2 linked regions of the Nothobranchius furzeri genome follow. The protein of the gene in region 1 purifies or fractionates together with the protein of each later gene. This does not show direct contact. Links are inferred from orthologs where the notes say so. Each region holds a gene or a part of one and is shown in the gene's direction. Other genes may lie near its edges.

Evidence for each region.
Region 2: the proteins of riok3 (region 1) and rack1 purify together in Homo sapiens (affinity purification with mass spectrometry; 3 studies listed by BioGRID and IntAct, counting the BioPlex papers as one, with this or other methods). This does not show direct contact. The link is inferred for Nothobranchius furzeri from reciprocal best matches to the Homo sapiens genes RIOK3 and RACK1.

Annotation. Positions count from the first base shown.
Region 1 is NC_091747.1:64,132,619-64,147,518, reverse strand, and holds riok3 (serine/threonine-protein kinase RIO3), read left to right. Parts: upstream 1-8,578; 5' UTR 8,579-8,801; coding exon 8,802-8,837; intron 8,838-9,170; exon of another isoform or gene 9,171-9,289; intron 9,290-9,392; coding exon 9,393-9,508; intron 9,509-9,589; coding exon 9,590-9,732; intron 9,733-9,848; coding exon 9,849-9,956; intron 9,957-10,029; coding exon 10,030-10,139; intron 10,140-10,256; coding exon 10,257-10,400; intron 10,401-10,472; coding exon 10,473-10,600; intron 10,601-10,682; coding exon 10,683-10,865; intron 10,866-10,935; coding exon 10,936-11,095; intron 11,096-11,189; coding exon 11,190-11,270; intron 11,271-11,354; coding exon 11,355-11,444; intron 11,445-11,581; coding exon 11,582-11,695; intron 11,696-11,767; coding exon 11,768-11,881; 3' UTR 11,882-12,141; downstream 12,142-14,900. Other genes in the region: clavesin-1, read right to left, coding at 1-24, 408-578, 2,779-2,910.
Region 2 is NC_091741.1:97,225,216-97,240,518, reverse strand, and holds rack1 (small ribosomal subunit protein RACK1), read left to right. Parts: upstream 1-5,221; 5' UTR 5,222-5,333; coding exon 5,334-5,442; intron 5,443-5,905; coding exon 5,906-6,077; intron 6,078-7,278; coding exon 7,279-7,426; intron 7,427-7,714; coding exon 7,715-7,810; intron 7,811-7,969; coding exon 7,970-8,080; intron 8,081-8,318; coding exon 8,319-8,459; intron 8,460-8,649; coding exon 8,650-8,760; intron 8,761-8,960; coding exon 8,961-9,026; 3' UTR 9,027-9,077; downstream 9,078-15,303. Other genes in the region: nme5 (nucleoside diphosphate kinase homolog 5), read left to right, coding at 10,018-10,152, 11,961-12,160, 12,453-12,553, 12,638-12,756, 12,866-12,943; hnrnpaba (heterogeneous nuclear ribonucleoprotein A/Ba), read left to right, coding at 14,066-14,268, 14,678-14,846, 14,925-15,083, 15,159-15,290. UniProt on the Homo sapiens protein: Scaffolding protein involved in the recruitment, assembly and/or regulation of a variety of signaling molecules. Interacts with a wide variety of proteins and plays a role in many cellular processes.

The DNA of each region.
Region 1 (14,900 bases):
TCGCTTGATGCCAAGGTCATCCACCTGACACACATGCACACACGCGCACACACACACACACACATGCACACACGCGCACACACACACACACACATGCACACACACACACACACGCACACACACACGTACACACACACACACACACACAGAAGCAATTACGGATAGCGTCTTCATGTTAGGTGTCTACTGAAGAGGAGGGTCGCCCTCCTCTGGAGGTTTTCTGATCTCCTCCTTGAGGGGCGGAGCCAAAAGAAGGAGGAGCTAAGATGTTTTGATCCTCCAAACAGACCTCCAACGACGGGTTCTAGCATTGGCATCCTGGTCCCAGTGCCCTCTTGATCTCTGGACCACCCTAACTAACCCGTCCCATAAGTTCTTCAGATGGGTGAATTCGTAAACACACTAACCTTGAAGCTCTGGAACATGTCGAGGTTCTGCTGTCGGAACTGGAAGTACTGGGCCAGCAGTCGGAACGTCTCCACATGGTCAAACTTCCTGGCTCTGAGGAAGCGAAGGATGAACTCGTCGTCTGTCCTCAGAAACCCGATGTCCGGTCGGGTCACGATCATGTCCCGCACCTGCGCCAGCCAGAACCCACACAGAACCGGGTCTCGTTAGGAACCATCGACCTTTTATTTGTTGTTTTTGTTTCACGTCTTTTGGGAGTAAACCGTTTATTTTATTAAATCTACAAACACAAGTTAAAGCAAGAGTCTGAGTAACCCATCAGAACCGGCTTTCTTCTCATGTCTACCTGTTAACCAGGTGAGAGTGGACCTGTTCTAAACCCAGATCTAACAGAACCCGGTCTACTGGACTGGAGATCATTTAAACCAACATTTCTGATGATCCACCCTTCAGTCCAAGTCCCAGCAGACTGGTTCCTAAAGTTCAGGTCATCTCAGGTTATCTCAGGTTGTTTCAGGTCATCTCAGGTTGTTTCAGGTCCTCTCGGGTTGTTTCAGGTCATCTCAGGTTGTTTCAGGTCATCTCGGGTTGTTTCAGGTCATCTCAGGTTGTTTCAGGTCATCTCGGGTTGTTTCAGGTCATCTCGGGTTGTTTCAGGTCATCTCGGGTTGTTTCAGGTCATCTCGGGTTGTTTCAGGTCATCTCAGGTTGTTTCAGGTCATCTCGGGTTGTTTCAGGTCATCTCGGGTTGTTTCAGGTCATCTCGGGTTGTTTCAGGTCATCTCGGGTTGTTTCAGGTCATCTCGGGTAGTTTCAGGTCATCTCAGGTAGTTTCAGGTCATCTCAGGTTGTTTCAGGTCATCTCGGGTTGTTTTAGGTCATGTCAGGTTGTTTCAGGTCATCTCGGGTTGTTTCAGGTCATCTCAGGTTGTTTCAGGTCATCTCGGGTTGTTTTAGGTCATGTCAGGTTCCCGTCAGGACTAAATAAACTGAATCTGATAAGTTGTAGAGTAACTTGTTTACTTGTAACTAAAGTTAGAGTAGCTGGTGAAGCAGAATGGAAGATAAAAAAAGCACCGATCACATTGAAAATCTAACTCTCGACACCGGAAAACTCTGGAATTCCCTCACAGACAAAATCAACGGGGTGTGTCTCAAACATCAGAGCTCTTGTCCTCTGAGCGGATGAAATTGTGATGTATTCTATAAAATAGATGCTTTAATATTATTAATGTTACTTTTGGGGCAGATCAGTGACATCACTTCCTGGCATCTGCAAGTCGTGGACGGGCTGGATTAGAATGGAGACAACAGCTGAGAGGACTGGGATGTCCTATCTCCTGGTCAAGTTCCCCATCCAGGAACTCCCCTGGAGTTCTGCTAATGGAAACATGCCTATTCAGTCTGGTTACCATGGCAACGCGGCATGTATGATCTGGTTCTCGTAGTTGTTAAACAGAATATGGACTTGTGCGCTTTATCTTTCGCGCTACAAAGGATCCCAGATCCCAGCATCGCTCCAGGAGGATCTCCTTGGTGGAGATCAGAGCGCTGATGGAGGACGCGTTGGCTCCAGAGTGCACGCTCGGCCAAATCCAGCCTTGATGCAATGTCAGATCCATGTGTTGCATCCTGGGCGCTGCGATCGCTCGGCACGGCGTAAAGCGGATGGCTTTGGATGGGCGTGCGTTTGCTTTTGGTGCTCTGGAATGATCTGCCACCAGATGCCAGACGAGCATGCTCGGTAGAAGCGTTACCACTAAACTGCAAACGTACCTTTTTACTAACGATTGATCAATCTTTAGGCATTTGGTTAGGGTTAGGGTTAGGGTTAGGGTTGATCTTCCTCCATGTGGCTGTAGCGGATGCTGCTGTGGGTTGTTTAGCGCTTTGTTTAAAGGCACTTTATAAATAAAGTTATTATTCCCGTCAGCCACATGTGTCTTTTAATGGTTTTAGCACCAATTACGATAAAAAGCAGACGTATTTATTTACCATAAGACCTGAGGAACGTGGACGGCTGAGACCTTCTGTCCTGCGGTTCCCTGTTCTACCACTAGGGGCTGTTCCTACGTTTAATTGGTGCTACGCACTAATAATGATGATACGAGGGCCCAAGTGTTAAGCACGCTGGTCTACACCACACCTGTAGAAGCCACCTCTAGTAGAACATTTGACTACATAAAGGAGGCTGGAGGATCTCTAAAGCTACACATCGTGTCCTGTTGGAGAAAGTCTAGACCTAAAGACCTCAGGAGAACGTCTAAGCCGTGTAGGCCTCCCTGGGTCAGGGGTTTGGACTTTCCCGGTCTGATCTTGTAAACTCAGAGATCCCTGCTGCCTGTCGGGTGTTTCAGGTGCGTGGTGTACCTGCTGGATGTCCTGGTGGAGAGTATCTGGGTTTTCGTTCAGCTCTAGCCGAGCCTTCTCTGTGGTATCCGAGCCCAGACTGGTGTGAACGTGGTTCATCATGGAGTCTTGGTCCAATATTAGTCCGAACATCCAGAACGAGTACCCTCAGGTTGGTTTCTCCAGTCTGGAATCGGTTGGTAGTTTAAAGCCGATGGACCGTGTCTCTGTCTGTGGTGTCTGGAACAATCGTAGCTGCTGTTGAAAACGTGGAGACAATCAGGATGCGGAGAAGGTTTGGAGCAGCTCATGAACCAACAATCATCTCTGCTGTCTGCTCAGGAGGCCACGGCGGGGTAGAAAACTCGGAGTTCTGCTGTTTTAGAAAAAACCTGACTTTCACTGATCTCCTAAATCACCAGCTGGTTCAGTCCTGTGGGCGCTGCAGGTGGACTCACATCCTGTTTGTCCGGGTTCCTCCTGCTGACACAGCCTCCTCCTCCTGCCGCCTCCTGTCATGGCTCCCTCAGCCTTTAGGAGACGGGATCTTCTAACCTCAGAGCCTCAGGTGGAGCCTGGGTTGTCTCTTCAGCCCGTTCTCTGAGGGACAGTGCCGTGTCTGGCGAGGCTCTTTGGTCCGACATGAAGCTCCTCCTCAGCCTGAAAGACAGAAGAACGTGTCGGCATCACTCTGGTGAGGGCTTTATCTACAGCAGGGCTATTCAGTTCTGGTCCTGGAGGTCCTGATTTCAATCAGCAGGTGATGAACAGCTTCTACAGAACCTGATGAGCTGCCGAACAGCTGAATCAAGCCTGTTGAGTCAGAGAAACCACTAAAACATGCTGGATACCACACCTCCAGGACCGGAATTGAATACCTCTGATCTACAGTGACGAGAACATGGCTCAGGTCTGCTCTGGGTGTACTGGTCCATCTAGGTCGGGGGTGGGGGGCTGATTCAGCCTCTGAGATCAGGAGATGCTCCTCCTCATCAGGAGTCAGCTGAGGAGGTCCTATCTCCTGGTCTGGAGGTTTCTGGTCTTCTCCCATTGGAATGTGCCCCAAAACATCTCAATAGGAAAAGATCTGGGAATAGGCTGGATCCTCCCAGAAGAACTGGAATGTCTGGATTCTCCTGGTTCTGATCGCTTCATGGTCTGACCCTGGATGAGTGGAAGAGGGTGGATGGATGAATGGGTGAGTGAGTGAGTGAGTGAGTGAGTGAGTGAGTGAGTGAGTGAGTGAGTGAGTGAGTGAGTGAGTGAGTGATGGATGCTGTATATTTCTGAGCCTATCTAGAACATCAGCTGCTGAAGCAAACTGGTCTCAGATATTATGGGATGTTCTCTAGTCTCTGGTCTTCATGTCCAACCGTGTTATCTCATCTGTCCGTTGGTGTAAAGCTAACGGTCTGCTGTAAATGAGAATGAGTTCTCCTCCTGGTTAAAGAAATAAAAGTTCAACTGTCAGGTTAACACACACACACACACACACTCACACACACACACTCACACACACACTCCTCACATCCTGCAGCCAGACGTCCCACCGGGCTGAACTCACACACCCCGACAGAACCGAACCGGACTAAGCAGCCGTTTAATATCATGTCCGATAATGAATGTGACCGGGGGTGGGGGGGTGGGGGGGGGGGGGAACCTGCTCGGTGGTTGAATCCCGGCTGTCCTGCTCGGCCCAACGAACCTCCGGTAGTGGTGCTGATGCAGGAGGAGGCGATCTGCATCCCGCGGGAAAACCCCTCAGCTCTCCAGAACAGGACGGTTGTAATCCTGCAGGAGGCTCGTCCTTGGGAGGAGGAGGCGCGATTTCACTTTGTGCTTCGGGAGAAGACGTCAGGATGCTCCGATAGGATCATGTTTAGCAAGTAAGTCACAGCTTCCGCTCTGGACTTTCAAAATAAGACTGAAGATGGCCTTGTTTATTCACAGAGCAGCTTAGTCAGACTACAGTCAGAATGAGTCACTATAAACGTGAAATCAGACATCTGGACTAGAAAACACACCTGTTACAGTCACACCCAGGTGCCAGGATGTTGTTGGTCCTCTTGGTTCTGGTTTCAGTTGGAGGTGAGGAAACCCTCTCCTGTCATCTAACACATTCTATGTAGGCTAAAGGCTCTTTTGTTGTAACGCCTGGAGCTGCACGGTGGTGCAGGTGATGGCACTGCTGCCCTACAGAAGTAGGGTTGCAGGTTTGATTCCACAGCCACTGCCTTGCTGTAGACCATTGGCATGTTCTCCCTGTGCCTTTGTCTAACTGCTGACTCAAATGTTTGTCTTTGTGTCCCTGTGATGGACTGGAGACCTGTCCAGGTATCTCCCGTCTCAACCCTAGTGACTGATGGTGACTGACACCAGCTCCCTGTTACCACGTGAGCAGGAAGCAGTTCGCTAACGGACAGATTTAACGTTGATTTCAGGTCAAGGGGAAGGCGATATAGTCAAGTTGATCCTAAATATTTAATGTTTCACCCTAAAAGTAACACAAACATGTTTATTTTTACTTGTATTTGCAAAGTAACACTTTCATTTATCATCTTTTTCTTTTCTTTTTTTTCATTAAATCTTGTGCTTTTATTTTGAAATCCGCACCACCGGTTTCCGCTTTGATCCAGGAAAACTTCACACACCTGCACGCGCCCGCTGGTGACAGCGTTGATATGCGCGCTCGCGAACCAACCTGGACAGCTTGTGGCGAACACGCGCATTTACAGCTCGGTGTGTGCCTACGAGCACGCGCATAGGTGATGTAAGTCATATTCTTTCCTTTAGTTGAAGCAAATGTTTTATTATATTTGTTACTGGTCGGTTTAAACGAGTCCAGCTGTTTTCATGTGATTCAGCTGACTGCTGCCATGTTTATTGTGACCATAAATTAGTTTGTCTGTAGAATTTAATCATCAGAGCTTTTTATTACATTTGTCTTAAAAATGAGTTTAATGTGAATAAACTTTATTCACCACGCAGGTTTTATTGTTTTATATCAGAATTAAACTGTTTAAACATTTATGATGGGAGTTTTTATTTTATTTCAAAGATGATCTCAGTGATTCACCGCTGCGCAGTGGTTAGAGCTGTTGCCTTGCAGCAAGAAGGTCCTGGGTTCGATTCCCAGCCTAGGATCTTTCTGCATGGAGTTAGCATGTTCTCCCTGTGCATGCGTGGGTTCTCTCCGGGTACTCCGGCTTCCTCCCACAGTCCAAAAACATGACTGTTAGGTTGATTGGTCTGTCTAAATTGTCCTTAGGTGTGTGTGGGTGTCATCGACATAAATATACTGGACATCTCCTTTCCATAGGCTCCATCACGTTTTTGAGGCTAAATGGGAGGTGGCCACCACCGCCATTTTGACCGTGTCACAGGTTCCGTCAAGCCCAGACAATTCCACAAAAGGGAAGAGAGGTGGAGCGCACCACACTTAGGGAATCCCTGCCCTATTACATTTAAATGTCATGGTTAAACAGTACATGTTAAAATCTAAGCTCAGCTCGGCAGTGACCTAAAATACATAAATATAATTTTACTTACCGAAAAAAATGAAGTGGAGACTCCTTGGACGCTCTATTAGTGCAATTAATGCCACAGCAAGTCATTTTGTCCAACAATTGCACAAATAATATCCAAACAAGAATACACAAACACAGAGACTCAGAATCCCAGAACAGTTTCCAGGCCAGACCGAGGCTCTACTGAGGCCTTTCCACGGAGCTAGCTCTGTGGTCACGTGGGTCTGATGCTCATTAATTATACAGAATTTTAGGCTTTTAATACACTTAAACAGAAGAGTGAGAAAAACATTCACCCCCCTCAGAGTTGTCATGAGTGTAAACTAGATCATTTAAACCTAAAACATGTTCTGGTACCAGGCTGTAAACATGTTTATTTCTGCTGTGAAATTGGTATTTTTAACATGGGAGTCAATGAGGATTTGCTCGCTTCTGACACCAGCCCCTAGTGGACGAGGGTGGAACTGCAATTTATTCATTTCCGGGTTTGCCTCAATGTGGGTGCTTGGTGTGTGCATGGTTGTTCGTCCTGTGTGTCTCTGCGTTGCCCTGCGATGGACTGGCTCTCTGTCCAGGGTGTACCCCACCTGATTGCCCGTTGACTGCTGGAGATAGGCACCAGCCCCCCCGCGACCCTGCGTGGACAAGCGGGTTCAGAAGATGGATGGATGGATCTCCGTGATTCATTCTTTCTTTATTAACGCTTTCATAATGAGTTAAAGCATCAGTGCCTCCTGAGACCAGATTTTGGATTCAAGGCACAGTTGAAGTAAAAGCATTCTTATGAAAATTTAATTTGTATTTATTGTAAAAAATTTCTGTTGACATGAGAAAAAATATATAAAAACTCAGTGTTATTAATTAATAGGGAGCCTAAGCCCCGCCCATCTACTTCCGGACCACGGGCCCCCCGACGAACGAGGAGATGAGGCCCTGTCCACACGTAGCCGGGGATCTGCCAAAACGTAGATATTTTCTACGTTTTGGCCTGTCATCCACACGAAAACGGAGTTTTTTAAAAACTCCGGCCAAAGTGAAGATCTGCGTTTTCTCCGTTTTGGGTGTCTGCGTGTGGACGGACAAAACCGGAGTTTTAAGGTCCGCAACGTCACTTTCCGCGACATAAAAATGCTGACATCACGCGTGCGACCTGTGTTTACACTAGCCGACAGCATGGACGCCCTCAGAGCTGCGCTCGCTTTATCAATTGTCCAAGCGCTTTCTACTTGTTTGTTTTTGCAAGCGGAATTACTGATCCTTGCGGAAGACCACAGACGAAGGACGAGGTTAAGAACGGGGGAAGTACTGCCGCCTACAGGTCTGGCATGTCCTTAACAACGTATTTATCCGGGTACGTGTGGACAGAGTTTCTTTTAAACGAGGTGGTGTGGATGCAAGTTTTTGGAGGGGCGGATATTCATTTTTTTAGAAACCCGGCTACGTGTGGACTAGGCCTGAGTCAACAGGGCTAAAAACGCTGTTTTCTAATTCCGCCTGTTTTGTTCCATGGATTTCACACATGATGTCCGTAAATTTTAAACACATTTTGATACCATAACGCACTTATTTTCTGGCGAGGGGGACGTTATTTTAAGTTTTGTGTGAAAATAAGTTCAGGACTACAAATGCGCTTCACCAAAGCGACGTCATCGATCTAGACAGAGAAGAGAGAGAGAAAATGGCGGTGAATTCAGGGAACTTCAAATCTTTAATCCATAACAAATCTGGCCATGTGGTAAGCAGCTAGCTAGGGGAGATGAGACTCTGTGGTGACGTCACATATGCGACGTGCCGACGATTTCTGATTTGTAGTCCGTGTTCGAGATGAGCCAGTTCTGATTTGAGTTCAGATTCGATCACCGGTGATCGGCGCACTGCAGTGCATGCCAGTAAGATTTGTGTCAGACTTAACACCGACTTGCTCTGACGTCATGGCTACGTAGGCAACGATAATCTAGTGAGATCAAGGCGGCTGCAGATTTTGGAGCAAGGCGCTGCAGTTGCTCTCCAACACCTAGGGCATGATGGGAAACTCCTGGCTCTCAACTGATCTAAGATCTGATTGGCTCTCATTTTGATCCAAACATCCGGTGGCAGAACTCTAAATGTTAGTTGGTCATAAATCATGTTACGTTGATAACTATATAGGCCATGAAGAGAATATATAAAGTATATAAACACTGTTTACATACATCTCTGTGCTCTCGAACACGGACAGGGCGACTCCGGGAGGATGTGATGTAAAGTGTTTTATTTTGAAGGCAGGTTGGAGTCTTGTTGGGCTGTGACGTGTTTCCGGGTGTTTAAAGGTTCACGCTGTCCTGTGAGACGCCTCTACGTCGTCTTCAACTTTCATCCGTTTACAAACGTTTGTTACCGACTTGAGAACTTTATTTTCATTTTGCTGACGTTTACATTCTAGCTTCCGGTTCGGCTCTTCTCGTCTCGTTTTGTTTCCACAAAGTTACACCAGCGTTAGCTTTAGCGCTAGCTAGCCGACAGACCGGAGTCCCAGCCATGGATCAGCCAGGAGTCACTGCGGAGGCGCGGAAGGTCGGTACCGGTTGTGTCTGGCCCGGTTTTACACGAACGTGTCGCTTAGCCCGATTGGACCTGAGACGGAAGGTCAGAGCTGACCAGGCTGAACGTGTATGAGTTAGAAGTAAACGTGCTTAACTAGCTTAGCTCGGAGGGCAGATTAGAGATAAACGGCCTTCAGTTTGGTCACGTGGGAGTCATGTGGCCACAGATGTGTCCAGCTGTTTCGGTGTTGGAGTTATTTCAACATCCAATTAGAAAACGTTTAAATGTAACTTTAATATTCTGGTGTTTTATTTGAGCCTCTGCGTCCGGATGACGTCAGCTGTTTGAGGCGACACGCCCCTCTCAGACATGCGAGGACATGTCCCTCCAGCCTGGCTACGGCACTACTGTTATCTAACCGCACCAGCACCCCTCCCTCTGGCTCAGGGGTTGGGTAACTCTGGAAGTAGATTTACTGCAAAGTAATCAGATTACATCAGCAGTTACTTGTTATAAACGCCGAGGTTATCACTAACCAGACAGAACCATCTGAGCTGAAGCATGAAACTGACTCTGTTTCTCCAGAACCCGTGGGGTTGTGTGGGCCCGACGGCCCCGGCCTGCCCCCTGACGGAGGTGATGAGCGAACAGCTGGCCACACAGCTGGAGGAAGACAACAGCAGCTTCTCTGCTCTCACCGGGTGAGTCACCTGGAGCACGCCGTTCTCCTGTCCTGCAGCTACGATTCAGACTGTTGGGTCTGACAGCTGGTTCTGCTTTAGCCCAGAGGTGGACCTGCTGCTGGAGGACGGTCCCGACACCACCAGTGACCTGATGCTGGCCCAGATGCTGCAGATGCAGTTTGACCGAGAGTTTGATGATCAGCTCCGTCGGGAGGAGAGGAAGTTCAACGGAGACAGTAAAGGTAGGGTCGGGTCGGGCCCAGAACCGCTGGTCGAGCCTAGACGAGCCCAGCAGTTCTGGGTCAGAGGACCGTTCCCGGTTGGACTCTCTTCCTAACCAGGTTGTGTCTCTGTCCAGTGTCCATCTCCTTTGAGAACTATCGGATGGTCCATCCCTATGAGGACAGCGACAGCTCGGAGGACGAGGTGGACTGGCAGGACACGAGACACGACCCGTACCGAGCCGGTGAGGTTCCTGCATCAGGTCTAGAGGAGCCGTCTGAGACGTTTCTGTAATGTTTGTGTTCCTGATGATCCAGACAAACCTCAGACCACGCCCAGGAGGGGCTTCAGCAGGAAGGGGAAGAACATCACCACCAAACATGACGAGGTGGCCTGTGGACGCAAGAACACGGCCCGGATGGACAATGTAAGTCTCCGTCTGGATGGTGGTTCTGGAAGTCCTCTGGGTGTTCTGATTCCTGCTTTCAGGAAGTCACAACAACTGGATGTTGTTCTGTCTGTCCCCCGTCCTCCTGTCCTGCAGTTTGCTCCAGAGGTCCAGGTGGGAGATGGTCTGGGGATGGACCTGAAGCTGTCCAACCAGGTCTTCAACTCTCTGAAGCAGCACTGCTACAGCGAGCAGAGACGCAGCGCTCGGCTCCATGAGAAGAAGGAGCACTCCACCGCCGTACGTGTCCCACAGTCCGGTCCATGGACCGTCCTGCTGTCTGTCCCAACGTGATCTCGTGTGTCTGGACAGGAACAAGCCGTGGACCCGAGGACCCGTCTGCTGATGTACAAGATGGTGAACGCCGGCGTGCTGGAGAACATCAACGGCTGCATCAGCACCGGGAAGGAGTCGGTGGTGTTCCACGCCGATGGGGGCAGGTGAGCTGGGAGGAGCTGAACCTGCTGGGAACAGGATCTGAGGGGTTCTGGTTCACGTTTGAGGTGTGTGTGTCCCGTCCAGGCTGGAGGAGGAGCCCGTACCAGGTGAGGTGGTCCTCAAGGTGTTTAAGACCACGCTGAACGAGTTTAAGAACAGGGACCGCTACATCAAAGACGATTACCGCTTCAAAGACCGTTTCAGCAAACTGAACCCCAGGAAGGTGATCCGGCTGTGGGCGGAGAAGGAGATGCACAACCTGTCCAGGTACAGCCCAGGTGCTCTGGTCTGCCAGTCACAGCTGCAGCAGGTGAAACGTCTCTGTTCACGTCGCCAGGATGAAGAAAGCTGGACTTCCGGTTCCAGATGTGGTTCTGCTGAAGAAACACATCCTGGTGATGTCGTTCATCGGGAAGGACCACGTTCCGGCTCCGAAGCTGAAGGACGTGACGCTGAGCTCCGAGGACATGAAAGCCGCTTACTACCAGGTGTTACAGGTGTGTGTCTCACAGACAGGTGTGTGTGTGTTTGTAGCTGATGTGGAGTTGTACCAGGTAACATCCAGGTGTGTGTGTGTGTGTGTGTCTGCAGCTGATGCAGCAGCTGTATCAGGAATGTCACCTGGTCCACGCTGACCTCAGTGAATACAACATGCTGTGGTACCAGGAGAAGGTGATGATGATGATGATGATGATGACCTTCAGCCTGTAACCTTCATCCACTCATCTTTCTCTGTCCTGCTCTGATTGGCTGAAGGTGTGGCTGATAGACGTGAGTCAGTCCGTGGAGCCGACTCATCCTCACGGGCTGGAGTTCCTCTTCAGAGACTGCAGGAACGTTTCCACGGTAACGCCCTCCATAGTTCGGCTTCGATCCAGATGAAAGTAAAACATCCAGATGTTTGGTGTGGGACATCAGCTGAGTCTGTCCCGCTGGTGTCCAGGTAGACCCCAGGTATCAGGTGCCTCGTGTTTGTGTTTCAGTTCTTCCAGAAGCGAGGCGTGGGCGACGTGATGAGCGTCTACGAGCTTTTCAACGCCGTGACGGGGCTGAGTGTCCCGGTTGGAGCTGAGGACGAGGCGGATTTCATGTCGGAGGTAAAAGAGGGTCCTGGCGGGCGTTGAGCCGTGGTGGATACGAGGTGTTTGAATCATTCTGCTCTGTGACAGATCGTGGCTCTGGAGAAGCGGAACGAGGATCACATCCAGAAACGAGGAAAGAAATCGTTCCCGGTGACCTCTGAGGATGGAGGTCCTCCTCTAAAACCGGACACTGACGACTAACGCCGCCCTCGTCACCATCTGCTGTGTTCTGGAGACGAGGAGGAGGCTTTGGTTCCTCCACACCTGTCCGCTAACCCCACCCTCCTCCAACTGAGGGCAGAGTGGAACACCTCCTTCAGGCTGTAGGAGGAGAAGACTCCCTGATCAGGATGGTGGGTCCAGCTGGGACGTCATCATGTCCTCCTGCTTTACTGCTGCGTGTTTGTGTGAAGCTGCGAGTCAGGAAGTTTGTTCAGATTAATAAAATAATCTAAGTCAGAGGTGTGTGTGTGTGTGTGTGTGTGTGTGTGTGTGTGTGTGTGTGTGTGTGTGTGTGTGTGTGTGTGTGTGTGTGTGTGTCTGAGAGACCCTGCAGTGGTGTTTCTTCGGGGCGTAGAGGATCTTCTGTTAGAGGAAAATCTGATGTTTTTATTTTGATTCAATAAAACTTAAACACGACTTTTGTGTTTTGAAGTTTGTAAGCAAGCACGTGATGAATGTTGGTCACATGACTTGTCACAAGAACGCCACCGAACAGCCTAAACCAAAAACAGGTCTCTTCTCCAGCTGAACATGGTTTGGAAACGAGTTCACATGAAGGTGCGTCAAAGCGCGATACGCACGTTTAGTTCTGTGTGCTGCTACACAAGTTTCACCACAGTTGAAACGGTCTCTTATTGTGAAGGAGAAGGAAGGCTTGTAGTTAGATTTCCGGTTTCCGGTCAAACATCAGGAGCAGAACCGGCCAGGTGTGTGAGGATGGCCAACGAGCATTACCTGGAGCTGAAGGAGAACCCGGTCCAGTTCGAACACGCGTCCAGCGTCAATAACGTCTTCTTCGATGAAGCTAATAAACAGGTGAGCTAACAGTTAGCATCGGCTAAGCTAACCTGCTACAGTCGCGCGCCGGTAACCCCTAACCTCAACCCTGTAGGTGTTCGCGGTGCGTTCAGGTGGAGCCACAGGTGTGGTGGTCAAAGGGCCAGATGACAAGAGCAGTGTTGCCTTCAGGTACATCAGGAATCACCGTTTAGTTTAAGCTAGCCGCGTGTTCACCTGTAGACTCAGGTGAAAGACCTGCCTAACCCTGCTCTGGCTGCCGCTTTCCTCCTCAGGATGGATGACAAAGGAGAGGTGAAGTGCATCAAGTTCTCCATCGGGAACAAGATCCTGGCGGTTCAGAGGACCTCCAAGTCTGTGGTGAGTTCAGGAGCGTGTGGGATGTTTTTATTCTGACTTCCCTTTAAGGTTCTGGTTCTGGTTGTGTTTACAGGATTTCATCAACTTCATTCCTGACTACCCACACATGGAGTTCACTCAGGAGTGTAAGGTCCGTCAGCCTTTGGGTCAAACATCTCCGTTCCCTCCTGTTCCCTCAGTAACCCTCTGTGTCGCTCTGCAGACGAAGAACGCCAACGTTCTGGGGTTCTGTTGGACCAGCTGGAACGAGATCGTCTTCATAACAGACCAGGGCGTTGAGTTTTATCAGGTAGACCGGTGGCGCGCCAGACGCTTCTGCAGAGTCAAACTGTTGTTTAGATGTGGAGCAGCAGGAAATGTTCTGAAATGTGGGTTTCAGGTGTTTCCAGACAAACGCAGCCTGAAGCTGCAGAAGAGTCAGAACATCAACGTGAACTGGTACCAGTACTGTCCAGAGACGGCCGTCCTCCTGCTGTCCACTACTGTCCAGGGAAACGTCTTGCAGCCGCTGGCCTTCAGGGTGAGTCCCACGTCCTGTGTGTGTGTGTGTGTGTGTGTGTGTGTGTGTGTGTGTGTGTTTTCATAGTGAATATCCATCTTTCCCAGAACGGAACCATCTCCAAGATGTCTAAGTTTGAGATCGAACTGCCGGTCATCCCCAAACCCGCCAAACTCAGCCTGTCTGAGCGAGATGTCGCCATAGCAACCATGTAATGAGAGTAAATAATAGTTCCACTTCATGTGGATTGGGGATAACTCTGTGTGTGTGTGTGTGTGTGTGTGTGTGTAGCTACGGCCAGCTGTACGTCATGTATCTGAAGCATCACTCCAGGACGCCCAACAGCCCTGGTGCAGAGGTGGTTCTGTATCACCTACCGAGGTAACGACACACACTGGCCCGTCCGGACCGGTTCTGGTTGAGCTAACAACCAACCAGTTCCTAAATGAGCAGAAGAAAAAGATCAAAGGATTTCTTTTCCTTTGTTCTGAACCTGCAGAAGGAGTCACTGAGGGTCGGTTCTCACATGAAACTGTTTTATGTTTGGGACGTTACTAAACTAAAACGGTTGTTGGGAATGTTCTGGACTTCCTGCTGAGTCTGGTGGACGTGCTCTTGTGTCGCTGGACAGATGTTCCCTGTAGGGATGTTCCGTACATCTTTTTTTACTTCCAGTCCTTCAGTGCTGTCCGATACGATATCAGCACAAACATACGTGCCTGTACCTGCTCCGTAGAGTGGAACGTACACAAGGCTCGGTGCAGGGATTTACTGGCACTGAAAACAAGCCAGCGTCAGTAAGTGTAAAAACCGACCAGTGTTCCCTTAACCTTTGGTTGCATGAATGTGAACAGCTGAGTTTAGAGAGATGAGGAAACGCAGACCAACCGCTACAAGTCGAGTGAGAAAATCCTCAGTGATCCTGCTTCCAACGCACGATGGGGTTGGACGTGTTAGTCTGGTTCTGTTGCACCGCAGGAAACTTGTGCTCCCAGCCAAGCTGTCTGTCACACTCTTAACAAATACACAGCCACATGGGGCTAGCACACACTGTTCTGATCACCTGGACTTTGGATCTGGGAGCTGATGGGTAGAACTGCTGGAATGGAGTTTAAAGCGGAACGTCCTGCTGACATCGGAGATTTTTGATGCGTTCCGATAAAATCTGGTGTTTTTGGGCCGATGTTCGTACGGGAACGGGACATCCCTAGTTCCTGGAGCAGGTGTTAACAGTTGGAACTTGAGAGAAATGTGGGACGAGTTGGAGACCAGTCGGAGAATTAAATGAGACTCCGTTAGAAGACGGTCTAAATTGCAGGACGAGCTGATTGTGATGACATC
Region 2 (15,303 bases), on another chromosome or scaffold:
CCTTAAATATAAGCAGACGATGAATGTTAAAGGGCAGGTCTGAAGGAACCATTTGCAGTATTACTGATCAATCATTGTAGCCTTGAGAAATAATCACCCTCATCTGATGCATTTTGACTGATTATTTAGTGTTTTAACATCAAAGGAAGGTGTGTTTGATCTCTGCTTCCAGCCTGTTTTGGACAACAGTAGAACTTGTTGCTGCTGACTTCAATTTGTTTTGAAACTAACATGAAATTTGATTGAAACGTGTGTTTTTATGAGTTCATAATTCATTTTCACTAAGCAGCGTGCCTTAAACTTGTCATTTGCTTTGCATTTTATACAAACCTTTGTAACTGCTCTCAGAAAAGTCTTTGCCTTTGTTTTTTTACCTGGGTGTTGCAACACATTTCTCTCGGATGGAAAATCTGTTGGTGCTTCTTTAATTTCAAAGCTATTTTATGAAACCACTTAGAAAAGGCACGCACAGATGCAGAATTTTATATAAAAATCTGCAACAAGTGCACTTTCTGGTTGGTACTGATAAACGTTTATGTCAGGATCCACAGGGATATTGATGGAAGATTAGGTAGATTTTTAAATAAAGGCCCTGCTGCTTTCCTTATTCAGTGTTACTCTGATGGAGCCTCATGGATTTGCTTCAGTCATGCTGCAGATTTCTAATTTCTGCTGTTTTATTGGATTCTATGTTTTTTATTATTTCATCTTGCTAAATAATTTCTGTATCAGTCTTGTTTTAATTTAAGTTTATTGAGGATTTGTTTATTAGAAAAGAGTGTTTCAGATATTAAGCTGAAATCAACAAATTCAAAAACGTACACGATGGGTGAAACATTTTATTTGAACACTTGTGTATAACTGAAGACGATTTAAAGATCAAGTTTTGCTGTATTTCAGTGTCAGACGGTAGTTATCTGTTGCATATCTTCATATGTGTTTATTTCTTTTACAGATTCTATCAGCTCCTTTTTAAAATGTTGGTTTATTGAAGTACGTTCATGGCACAGTGTCTGATTGGAGTTTCACATTGTAACAGATCTTAATACAACAGTATTAGCTAAACTTTGTGTGAATGTTTTTACTTTTGGTTGTGTTCATTGGTTGTAAAAGATTTAAGCTATTTTTGTAATTACTTGTCCAAATATAAATATATATGTGAAATAAGTAAAACAAAAAATCTGGTCCGTAAACATGCAGACAAAAATAAACTTTAAAGTGTTATGGTTTCATTTTATCATGCTAATGTGTCTTTTCCTTTTTGGTCGTGAGGGCAGCTTGAGCAGAGTTCTGTCTGTGTAGGTTTATCTAATTCCATTATTTTGTTCTTTTCCAAACACAGTGATAGATATTTGTTATTTACCTTTTTACAGACAGGTTTAGGCTACATCTGTAGCCGTTTTCATCATTGGTGACGCTCTGAAGAAGGCTACAGATGTAGCCCAAACTTGTCACCAAGAAGGTAAATAACATTTCTAATACTCAGTGTTCAGAAAAGAACCAAAGATGGAATTGGCTGAGCTCTCACTTCGGCATAAGAAACCGCTACAATGCCCACATCACTTTAGATGCAACACCAATCCTATTGATCGCCCACTACATTTTCCCTCACTCATTAGGAGAAGGCATTCTACCCTTTTCTGACTCAAGACCATGGTCTATGATTTCCAGGTGGGATTCTCATTCCGGCTGCTTCAAACTCACCTGTGGCCGAGATCACGGTCTGATGAAGCCAACAGGAACACATTATCTATAAAATGCAGAGAACTGATCCTTGGGCCACCAAAACAGATCCCCTCAACACCTTGGCTGTGCCTAGAAATCCAGTCCATAGATGTTAGGAGCAGAATCTGTGACAAAGGGTAGCCTTTGGACAGAGTCCAACTCATGGGAATGAGCCCAACTTACTGCAGAGTCCGATAAATTTTAGTGGCTGGGCTGCAAAGTGAAACAGCAGTCCACGGGGGGCGCTCATTACTGGCCTCCATCCAGGCACGAATGGATGCAATATCTGCATCAACATCCTGGGCCTGGCTCAAGTCCCCCATGGTCCAACCATGAAACAAAGGAACACATGTACCTTCTCAGTCTGCTTTACAACACGTGAATCAGTGGGAATGTTCTGATGTATTGTGTCTGTATGTGTGGAAGTGTTTTGGTCTAGACTCTAGAATATTTGTGTTGGGTGTAGGGGTGCTTTGACTTACCCCCACTGGACAGACTGTTGTGTCAGCCCGCCGGTCGCTCTTCCACCCCCACTGGACTCAGCAACAGAAATCTCCCATCAGAATCCAAGCTGCACTGGAATGCCAAATGTGTAGATGGGTTCGGAAGTTTGCATAGGCTAGACAGGTGGCATGGTCTTCTGGAAAGACTATCAGCATTTGTGTGCACCCGACCCGGGTGATGAACGATCTCAAAGTCATATTTGGCAAGCTTCTCAAGCCAACGAGCTAACTGTCCTTCGGGCTCTTTCATCTCTGTAAGCCAATGCAGGCTTCCATGGTCTGTGCACACCTTAACCCTGTGGAGGCAGGCGTTGCTGATTTGCAATGTTAAAACCTACCTACCTGATGCTCCACATACATATTTCATGAGCATTTTTTAACTTAGAAGTACCCCTGAAGGACTTAGTTGTTCGTCCTTTTATCAAAACTTATTTTGAGCCTGAGAGGGTTAAAGGGCTGCCCCAGGAGATACTGGCGGAAATGGGAAGTGAAATCCACAATGGCCAGCAATTGACTAGTAATTAAAATTGCGCCCACATTTTCTAAGTTAACACACATCTCTTTTAACAATGGTAGTTTTTGCATCTTTACAGTTCCCCTGCTTCAGAAGTTGAGGGCTTCCAGGAGCTCCCTCTAGCTCACCCATATTTCGAATGTTGCGTATAGCACAAGTTTGTCACGTGAGTTGCTGAATCCTAGCAGACAGTTGCCTTTCAAAATAAAATAGTTCCCGGATCTTGTTCCAGCAAGATCTGGCTCAAATTAAGCCCTGTCTACAAGTCTACAAAACACGTAGATTGGTTGGATGAACTCCTGTGCACCCTCTATGACCCTGCTAAGGGTATAGAGCTGGTCTAGTGTTCCACAGACCAGGAGAATATCACATTTTCCTCCTAAATCTGATTGATTATCCAGGGGACCTTTGTCTCTGGATCCTTTGAAGAGACTTTGCCTGCTAAGCTCAGGAGTGTTTTCCCCCTGTGGTTGGAGCACACCATCCAGTACCTCTTTATAAATAGGGGGATCATCACCCCAGTCTGTCAATCCAGTGGAACTGCCCCCAGTATCCACAATATTTACTGTGCCGCATCAACCAACACAGTCCCACAACATCCAGCGCCTTGAGGAACTCCAGGCGAATCTCACCCACCACTGGAGCCCTACCACTAAGGAGTCTCTTAACCACTTTGGTTGCCTCAGCACTAGAGACTTGATAGCCCAAACCCCCAGAATTCACTTCCTAAATGGAAGATGTGCCAGTGGAATTGAGGAGGTATTTAAAGTACTCTTTCCACTGACTCACAACATCCCAAGTGGAGGTCAGCAGTACACCATCCCCACCATAAACAGTGTTGGTGGTGCAGCTGTGTCACCCTCCTGAGACATCAAATGGTGGACCAGAATCTTCTCAAAGTATGAAACTCCTCCATGGCCTCATCAAACTCCTTCCAGCAGGTATTTTCTTCCTCCACCACCTGAACCACACTTCACTTGGTATCTGGTGCCTCAGACCAAAAGACTCAACAGGCACATACTACTCTGTGGCCGTAGCTCTAGTCAGCTGTTTCAACTTTTATTTTAGTAAAATAAAGCAAATGACTAAAGAAGTTTGAAAATGACATGTTTTAGAAAGTAAAACGTCATCTGCTAGGATGATCAAGTCTTACAGTGAGAGGAGGCTTACCATACAATTTTTTTCTAAGCACACAACACTGTTACCAATATTCTCACTTCAGCCTAATGTAACAGTGTTGAAATAGTGTAGCTGTGCAGTAGTTTACATATAGAAATATCAGATTATTCATAAAACATACCAGTAGAAAGCCTGGAAATTGAAGGATTCCAAATGTTGTTCAACATGTGAGATAAAACATTAATTATTTTGTAGCGTGGCATCATTGTCTTGTCTGTAATTGGCCTTTTTTTATTAGGTTATATGTTTTTATGGTTGTTTTATATTGTCTTATTTGTACTTGTTGCCTGCTGTATTGTCCAGCACCTTGGGTGTTTGATGAGATTGTGGAAGGGACATTACAATCTTCTGTGCATTCATTCTGGGTCTTTTTAACTTGTATTTTTTTTTTGGTTCTCTTTTAAACACAGGAAAGAAAAGTTTTCTTCTCTGTGTTTAAAAAAGAACCAATAAATAAATAAATAAATAAATACAAGAGACTTTACAAATAAAGTGAAATGAAATGAAAATTCAAATTTTAAAGATTGTTTGTTAATCAGTACACAAGTATAGAGCAGGCATGTATGTGGCCCTCATTTGTCGCCCTTGGAGCAATTTATGTCACTGTCGTCCCCCCCCCCCCCCCCCCCAACATTGTATGTTCAAACTTAATAGTCCATTTTGACAAATTTTAGGGAGTACAAATGCAAGAATAAATATTTTTAGCATTTAAAAAATGTATATGTTGTGGCCTACAAGGACAGTTAACTTGCTGATTTTGGCTCTTATCTAGGAAAGTTTGGACATCCCTGGTATAAAATATATCAAGGCGTCAACTTTAAAGCCGCCTTTCACATGAAAAGAAACAAATATTATGGGATTAAAGCTCGTGTGTGTGTGTGTGTGTGTGTGTGTGTGTGTGTGTGTGTGTGTGTGTGTGTGTGTGTGTGTGTGTGTGTGTGTGTGTGTGTAACATAAAGTATAAAAAATACGGACGTTTGTAAAATATAGAATATTCTAAAATCAGAAAATTTGTGTCCATCACAGACATTTTATTTTACTGGTGCTATGTTTCGTAAGAGCTTAATTTCCTTTATTCATTCAGACAGAAACATATCAGGGATGTGCACAGCTGTTACCAATAACCAAATCAGTGTGTATTACTTATATATAATGGTGATGTGTTGTAAGTGAAATGTTTTATCATGTTTCTAAACAGTCCCCTTCAGTCTTTTCTTGTAGCACACTTGGATGACTTGGGGAAAAAAACATATCCCAGAATGCTCTGCGAGCCCTTCACCCCTCTTAGTTTTTGCATCCGGGTCTGTACTTCCTTTTCCTCCGTGCCTAGATGCGATGAGGACCTAGGTTTTTACGAACCTGAGAAATATCCGAATCCATCCTTGTAAAAGGCACCACCGAACCTCGTCAAAATGACCGAGCAGATGACAGTGAGGGGGACCCTGAAGGGCCACAGTGGATGGGTCACCCAGATCGCCACTACCCCTCAGTATCCCGACATGATTCTGTCGGCGTCCCGAGGTGAGGCTTCCCCCGCCGGCAGCCGCCAACATGGCTACAGCTAGCTTTGTAAGCTAGCAGTGACTCTTTGGTAATGTTACAAAAATACGATTTTTGCGGAAGTGGCAGAAGACCGCTGAAATGTGATTACAACAGCCTAAAGGCTCATTAATCGCTTATAGTGAACATTTGCGACTTCAGAAGTGGAGGAAACCTGGTGTAGTTAAACTTGTGCTTTCTAGCGTCATTAGCTGGATCTACTGTGTTTCACTCCTGGGTTTACACCAACATAGCACCGACACTGATTCATCCAGTTAAACATCAGACTACTTGACATGAGGTTATAAGGCCTTGAACCAAGCGCTGCAATGTGATATTAACTTGATATTAACTTAAGTGCTAGCTTCGCATGCTAATGCTACCTACCTGCTCTTTGCTTTAGGCAATACTCCTGAGTCCTGAACCTTATGTGTTAAACTTTCAGACAAGTCCATCATCATGTGGAAGCTGACTCGTGACGAGACCAACTATGGGATCCCTCAGCGCTCTCTGAGGGGCCACTCTCACTTTGTAAGTGATGTTGTCATCTCCTCGGATGGACAGTTTGCTCTCTCAGGCGCCTGGGACGGCTCCCTCCGACTGTGGGACCTCACCACGTAAGTACAGCTAGGAAGAAAGCTTCTACATCAGATCCGCTGTCCTGTAAATATATCTCTTTACCCGTTTACCTGCTCCCAACATATTTAAATGTGTGAGAGCATCTAGAGAAGTCAACTTAGGAAGGTTGTGATGAAATCAGTTAATCTGGGTCCTTTAGAGCAGGAAACGTGTGGAACTTGCAGGATGGTACCCCTCAAGGAAAAAAGTTGCTGACCCTTGATCTGCATCATCTAAGCATCTATGTGGAACACAGTTTAAACTAGTTAATGCTTTTCTTTTTAGAAATAAGTAAGTTGGTAAAGACTTGCATGTTTGTATTAGCTGGAAGTATGTCCTTTCTAAATTTAAGTTGTAACAAACATCCTGGATAGTTTTAAAGATATGATTTGTCACCTTTGTTCTATAAATGAAAATGTGTTTGAACCGATGTTAACACACAGTCCGCGCTAATGCGTATTTGTTACTAGAGCTACAAACATTTCAGCACTTATGACCTCTAAATACCAAGTTGCCAGGGAACATAACTTAAGCCATAAAACAGTTGGGAAATGACATCTAGTTAAGCTACACCATGTGTAAACCCAATCTTGGTGAACAAACTTCATTTGCGTGTACATGACCGTGCAACAGCTTTTTATACTAGTGTTTTGTACCACAGATAGAACTTCAGTAATCTCGCACTAAATAATAAACAGCAGACATTTAAAAATGCAGTTATATACAATTACAATGTTTGTCAGAGATCCTATAAAATAAATTCTCCCAGTTTCTTGTACCCGACACTGTTGTTCCACAGTGTTATTGTCCTTACTACACCTTCATCACTTTATACACTCCTTAGTTGTGACTTAAGAGAACAGTAGATCTAAATAAATGGGTTTGGGGTTTATACAGGAATAAAACTACAGTCCATGTTTGAACAGTTTTAATCATCTAAGTGAGGAGCTGGAATTTGATTCTGGCTAAAGTGCTGGAACCCGATATAAACTGAACCTAAAAAAAATTGTCATTGATCGGCATTAAGGTTTGTGTACTAAAGTGATTTGTTTGAATACAAGTGGGGAAAAAAACTGTTTTAACTCCTTAAATGACTGTAGCTTGTAGAGGCCATAATTAGTAGAGGAGGGCAGGCATTTTAAACTGTAAACTTAATATAGCTTTATTCTAATCGGACGTCTTAATCTTGTGTTTTTCTAGTGGCACCACCACCCGTCAGTTTGTTGGACACACAAAGGATGTTTTGAGTGTGGCTTTCTCTGCTGATAACCGTCAGATTGTATCTGGCTCCCGAGACAAGACCATCAAGCTGTGGAACACTCTTGGAGTCTGCAAGTACACCATTCAGGTGAGCTGTCACTTAATGCTGCTGCTGCTGCTGCTTAGAGCTGTTCCTTCTTTGGTTTTCATTTAGTTTTTGTTCAAGCTTTTTTTTTTTTTTTTAACTAGTTTTACATTTTCTGAGGTAGAGCACACAGCTCAGCCATCAGCTGGAGCATTGTGGACTAAATCTGTATGATGGTTTTAAGTGTGTAGTGTGTCAGGATCATGGAATAAGTCTCGGTGGTTACATGAGCTAAAGTGAGCCATTGTTGGGATGAGCTGAACTTTAAACTGTTCAAACTTGATTTTGCAGGATGAAGGCCATTCTGAGTGGGTGTCTTGTGTTCGCTTCTCCCCCAACAGCAGCAACCCCATCATTGTCTCCTGTGGCTGGGACAAGGTGGTCAAGGTATGGTTTACTAGTAATTTGCTAATGTTTGGTCCTGGTTAGATGGTTTAACTTAGTTTGCATTTATTAGCTGACTACTTGCGTAAGACAACCTTTTTTATGATTAGCTTCCATGTTGGATGTTGATGTTTGTTCTGTCTCGGGTGTGATGCCTCTCAGGTGTGGAACCTGGCCAACTGCAAGCTGAAGACCAACCACATTGGTCACACTGGCTATTTGAACACAGTGACCGTCTCCCCTGATGGCTCTCTGTGTGCATCTGGTGGAAAGGTAACATCTGCTTCCAGTAATTGTAGATTTCTGTAAAATGTTCTTTTTTAGAATCTTTAAGTGAACGGACAAGTTTTTGCAATGATGGAAAATTAATCATACATCTGTTTTAAAATGATGACAATAGAGGCTGTTTCTGAGCACGACTTGAACTTGTCACGATCCCCGTTTGTGGGGTTGGGTATCGTGTTAAGAGCTGCGATGTAATCACTGAAGAATGTTTTCTGTTGGTGTTCAGGATGGCCAGGCCATGCTGTGGGACCTGAATGAAGGCAAGCACCTGTACACCCTGGATAGTGGTGACACCATCAACGCCCTTTGTTTCAGCCCCAACCGTTATTGGCTCTGTGCCGCCACCGGCCCCAGCATCAAGATCTGGGTAAGATGTTAAGCTAAACATGTTATCAAGGAGGACTGTGATGAAATTTAAAATGTTAGCTGTATTGTTTGATGATATCAGAGGCTGTTTCTGAGCTCCGACCCAATAGAGAATGTCAATAAATTCAGGTATGTTACTTATTACCTTGGTTAGAGATACCATCACTCTGGTTCTCTTTTACCTCATTCAGGATCTGGAGGGCAAGATCATTGTGGATGAACTGAAACAGGAAGTGATCAGCACGAACAGCAAGGCAGAACCGCCACAGTGTACTTCCCTGGCGTGGTCTGCTGATGGACAGGTACGACACTCTCTGGAGGACCTTTAAATGCAGATTTCTGTTGTGACCCCTGTGATTATACCCATTCACTTTTAACTCTGATTAATTCTGCTGACAGTCCTGCAAATATGAGGGGCACCAGAGAACCACTCACATGATTGAGCCTTTTTGAAAAGCGTGCTATTATGGATGCTAACTTCTGTTCCTCTTTTACTCAACAGACCTTGTTTGCTGGCTACACTGACAACCTGATCAGAGTGTGGCAGGTCACCATTGGAACACGATAAGAACAGCCTTGCTAATGCAGCTTTGAATAAAGAGACTCTTTGAAAATAAAATGTTTTGATCTTGTATTTAATTTTGACTGTTAAATTGTTTTTTATCAAAAGGGAACATCGATCACATCGATTTAAAAAAATCTGCTGAAACAATGATCAACAGTAACGTGAAAAAATGATTGAAAAATTAGGGAAAACTAAGTTTCTGTATTTATTTATTTTACTTATTTTGCCTTTATTTAACCAGGTTGGTCCCATTGAGATACAAGATCTCTTTTGCAAGGGAGACCTGGCCAAGACGGACAGAGCAGCAGCACAAGTTACAAAATTAATACATTCACATTTAAATACATTTCCACATAAACTCAATTAAAACAAACACACTGATGGTCTGGATTCCAGTGACCTAATCAGTCAAATCCACTCAAGGAAACCAAATCCTTGATTTTTAGATCTTTTTGTAGTGAATTCCATGTTGATGGAGCAGCAAAGCTAAAAGCCGACTTTCCCAGCTCTGCGAACCTTAGGAACAACAAATTGCAAAAGTTCACTTGAGCGGAGATTGAACTGATTCTGCTGTGAGGATGGAAACATCCCTATCAGCTTGGACCAGTTTTTATTAAGTGAAATGGGATTTAAAGTCTGAAACATTTCTATTTTTTAACACTGTTCAAATAACTGCTTGTACATTAAATCTTGGCTGCTAATCTGAAATGGAATACAGAATTAAAATTACACAAAAAAAAAACCATGGGACAACCGGTCATTAAAATTTTGATTTAACTGGTGGTTTTCTAAATCTGGGGCTTGTAATTTGGAAAGTTCAACTGACGTTTGCAATTCGCATGGATTGTCCTACTTCAGACGCCGTAATTGTATCCTAGCAACTAGTCGACAGAACGAGCCCAGAGTGCTGCTCCAGGTTGGAGTTCCTTGTTTAGTTTACTGCTACATAGTCAAGTTTTGCGTGAGCCGTATTTCGTGGCCATTTAGCGTTCAGATGAAGATGGATCGTAAAAGGCCATATCACCGTGTCATCGTAGAGAAAACGCTGGCCGTCATTAAGCCAGACGCGTTTCAGCTGGCAGATGAGATTGAGAATGTTATCGTCAAATCTGGCTTCAGTATACTTCAGGTGAGTGGAAGTCACCTACTTTCTAGAGGCGCGTTTTCAATATTTGTGGAAGGAAGATATTTTTATTAAAATAGATTTATTTAGATGCCCGATAAACGCTGATTTCCATTGATCATCCTACGATCTGGTTTCAAATATTACGCTTCATGGCTTCAAAAGGTGACCGCTTTTTGAGGCCGTGTGGCTCTTACGTAGTTTTTTCAGTAGAGGGCAGTAACGGGCTGTAATTTTACTGGAAACCCTATTAAGACACCTTTTAAACGTTTAAAGGTGAATGTCTGCATGGTGTTTCTGTACATCTTTTTTCTTTCTTTTTTTTTTTTTTTTTTTTTTTTTTACTAATTGCACTTCAAAGATACTTATTGCTGTTAACTGAAACATGTCAACCATTTGATCTAGGAATGTGTGGATGTTAAATACTACAGATTACTTATATTTTTTGACTGAAATTTCACATTCACTCTTGACCATGACCTGTCAGTAATTTGCATAGACAAGTTAGTGGAAGACCTAAAACAGTGAACTGTAATGTGTGCAGCTACACACCAAATAATATACATGGGGGTGGAAGACACCCTCCTCTACCTGCAGCACTGGGTATATGTCGATGGTGCTGGCTCACCTCAAAATGCAAAAAAGCAATCTCAAGTGCTTTTAACACCATACAGCCGTGTCTACTGCAGCAGAAGATGAGGGGTGCAGGAGTGGTTGAACATCTGACTGCATGGACCATCAACTATCACCAACTGGCTACAGTACGTGAGGCTGCACAACTATATGTCTGATGTGTTTGTGTGCAGTACTGGAGCTCCACAGGGTATGGTGCTCTCACCCTTTCTATTCACCTTCTATACCTTGGACTTCAGCTACAAAACCAGCAACTGTCACCTCCAGAAGTTCTCAGATGACTCAACCACTGTCGGCTGTGTGTCTGAGGGGAATGACCTGGAGTACAGGTCAGTCACAATGGACTTTGTGGACCGGTGTGAATGTAACCACCTTCGTTGGGGTGCAGGCAGCTCTGACCAAGACTGGAAGCTCGCTTCTGGGCTGCCAACTAGTTTCAGTTGAGGAGACATGTGAATGGAGGATGGTGGGCAAAAGGACCTCCCATTTTGGAAAACCCCTCCCACCTATTGCATTCCACTGTGGAGGCCATGGACAGCTCCTTCAGAGGCAGACTGAGACATTCAAGATGTAAAACAGAAAGCTGCTGTAGGTTATTCATCCCCTCAGCAGTAAGAGTGTAAAACTCCTGAGATCAACTGGTACTGGCATTATCCTGTTACACAATAACATCTGTGCAATATTTAGTATGAGTTCAATACTTGTGCAATACCTGATGTACATCAGCATGTCTGTGTCCCTTGTGCTGCATAGTTCTGGAATCCAAGTTTTTCTTTTTTTATTTGTGGTTTTTAGTTGTTGAAGCTAACAATAATACCTTTGTGTATTTACCTGTGATCTTCTTCTTCTTCCTTTTCTAAGCATATGCGCCGCTGCTGTAGAAAGTTAATTTCCCCATAGTGGGATTAATAAAGTGTATTCTATTCTAAAACATTGTTACAGTTTACAATTGAAATTACTGCTCCCCTTGGTTCTATTTTTGTCAGATATTGCAGTACTGTACAGAACTGCTTTAGACAGATTCATGAAAAGTTGAAGTATAATGTCTGTGAGAGCTTCACAGTGTCACTTGTCCATTTAAACAAATCTGAGCTGTCTGAACTAGCTTAATATTTTTGAAGTTATATTCTATTTTCCACCACAGTGGTTCACTCACTCCACTGCTCTGTTTTCTGTGGCAGAAGAGAAGGCTGCAGCTGAGTCCAGAGCAATGCCACGACTTCTACGCAGACCAGACACTCATGTTCCCCAGTTTGACGGCCTTCATGAGCTCTGGTCCCATTGTTGCCTTGATGCTGGCTCGTGACAATGCTATCGCCCACTGGAAGTCCCTTATAGGGCCTGCCAATGCTACCAAAGCCAGAGAAACCCACCCAGAATGGTAAATCGCAGATATTTCTGCCAGTAGAAAAAAAGCATTTATGTAGTAAAATCAATGTTTGTCTTTTTACAAAGACTCAGGATTTAAATGTCCTCTTGAGGCAGGTTTCTACTTACATCCCAATTTATTAAGACATACCGACAATTTTTGCATACCGTTTCCCCTGATATATTTCTTTTGTACCTACAAAACCCACTGCCATTTTTCCGAATATTATGTGCTCACCTTGAGTTCATTTGTGAATGTGCTACTGGTCTGAGCTGTAAATCTTTAGTTTCTATTCTGCCTTTAGCCTCAGAGCAAAATATGGAACGTCTGAGCTGAAAAATGCCCTCCACGGCAGCGACTCGTGTGACGAAGCTGAGAGGGAGATCAAATTCATGTTCCCAAACTGTATGTTCCTCTCTCACCCATGCGATTATTCTTAAAGGTAATTACTATTGACTGTGATCTATCCCTTATCCTCTCTTTCTGTAGCTATAGCTGAACATGTTCCTTCAAGATGTGAAACAGAAGAATACATGAACCAGTATGTAAATCCAGCCCTGCTGAAGGGACTCACTGAACTCTGCAAGGAAAAGCCTCTGAACCCCTGTGTAAGGACTGATGCTCAGTGTGAGGAAAGATATTAAATATTATTCATCTGCTGTTGAAGGGGTTATTGTTAACATGTTGATTTCTGTCCTGCATATTTGTATTCAACAGATCTGGCTAGCTGACTGGCTTCTGAAAAACAATCCAAACCAGCCTCAGATATGCGACAAGGACACTGTGGAAGACTGATGGAGAAACAAGGAGGGAAGTCGGTTCAGTGGTTTTGCTTTTGACAAACTCTTCAGTCTGTTGGTGTACAATAATAAACAGGATTTTCAGCAGTTGACATGTTTTATTTTTCTGTTATATAATAATTATCTCAGGCCTTATTCTCCAATGAGTTCATCTTGCATCATTGATTAAATCAGTGAAAAATGTCCCATCAAATAATTGAATGCAAGAGGTTACGTGGTTAAAACAGACACCATGTTCGTTAAACACTGTTTTGGCCATTTTATTCATCAAAACAGATTGTGCTGCTGCTCTGGAGTAAACCCCACCGGAGTCTGAGTGAAAAGCAATAATTGTGGGTCAAAGCTGACAGTTTGTAGGATTTATTTTTTTGATCGACAGCGTGGCTATCTCCACCGAATACACAAGTTTTAGCAGCTGAAAAAAGGTTCATCGAGTTCCTTCCTGTGTTCTGAAGGCGTGAACGACTTGGACGAAAGAGACATTGACGCATTGTGATTGGGTGATGCTGCGATTGACAGCTTGCCTTAACCAATCACGTTGCCTCTTGGCAGAACTGTCTCCCCCACCCTACCGGTGCTGAAAAACCAACCACGAGTTGGCGTCGTGTGGGAGAATCCATCTTGAAGAGAGCTCTCTGGTTGTGCGACCAGTAAGTACTGTTATATTTTTATAGCTTGATCGTGTTTTAGAAGACTGACGCTTAGACAGTCCGGTATTGTGTTGCCCCTCCATATTTGTTCAGGTCAACGTTGAACAAATGTGTTAACCGCGTCACGAGGCCACATTTCGTGCCGTTACGGCCTCTTGTCTGTAGCTTACGTAACTGCGAATTTTAGTTGCATAGTCCAGCCTTGGTTTATCTGTGTGACACAGAGGGCAACAGCGTTGCTAATCGCTGCCCTTCAGCAGAAGTGTACGATAGATTGCGTCTAGTTAACGGGTTTTGTGAGGAAGCGGCCAAGTACTGCTACGTGCGTACGCGGCTTCGCCGGCCAAAATGGTGGGGTACGCACGCAGTGGCACCACGTCAGTGGCGAGGCTTTGTGGAAACACCGGCGCTTATTGTGCAAAAAACTAGGTAATTCTTCTGTGTGGTTTTAGGTGCATTAGTGAAAAATGTCTGAGGCGGAGCAACAGTACATGGAAACATCGGAGAACGGCCATGAAGTCGACGATGATTTTAACGGAGCCGGCCACACTGACGAGGGGGACGATGGCGGCGCCGAGCTTGACTGCGGACAAGGTGCGGGGACTGACTCGCAAAATGGAGGCTCCGATGGCGGCCAAATCGACGCCAGCAAAGGTGAAGAAGATGCCGGGTGAGTTTTGCACGTCTTAAGTTGTGTTTGTATGAAGTGGGCAACAATAAAACGTGATCTTGTTTTACAAATGTCTCTTTGTTCAGCCGGCCTTTTGTTGGCGCCATGTGCAGAGTGGAGGGGGATGGGCGTTTCGGAGGGAATGGCATCCAACAGCACTGACTTATCTGCAGAATCCACACATAAATGGGCATTTTACTCGTTTATAACGTCATAGATTTTTCTAATCATATTTATGAAGTAGCTCAAGGCTATAACACCATAAGGTGCCCCCTCCCCCACGCGCCACTAGGTCAACAGATGTGTTGGGAACACTGTGTACATCATGTATACTGACGCCCCCTCCGCTTCTGCACCCTTCCCCTCTGCCACCCTGTATGACTAAATGTGCACTTGCTTCTGTGTTTAGGAAAATGTTTGTTGGTGGCCTCAGCTGGGACACCAGTAAGAAGGATCTCAAAGATTACTTCTCAAAATTTGGTGAAGTGACCGACTGCACCATCAAGATGGACCAGCAGACCGGCCGATCAAGAGGCTTTGGTTTTATTCTCTTTAAAGATTCGGCTAGTGTAGATAAGGTCAGTAGGAAGGCAGTGATGTTGCGTGTATATTTCTCCAAGGCGGGGTGATTAAAAATGGCCTTTTCTTGTCTGCAGGTTCTTGAACAGAAGGAGCACCGGTTAGATGGTCGACAGATTGACCCCAAAAGAGCCATGGCCATGAAGAAGGAACCAGTAAAGAAAATCTTTGTAGGAGGGCTGAACCCCGACACTTCTAAGGAAGTCATTGAGGAATACTTTGGGACCTTTGGAGAGGTGCTTAATCAGTTTTTCTAATAATTAAGGACTTTTGTTTTTACCATTTTAATCATTGGCGCTCCTCTTTTGTAGATTGAGTCCATTGAACTTCCACAAGATCCAAAGACTGAGAAGAGGAGAGGATTTGTATTTATTACATATAAAGATGAGGCTACTGTGAAGAAGGTCATGGAGAAGAAGTACCACACCGTTGGTGGCAGCAAGGTGAGGAAAGCAT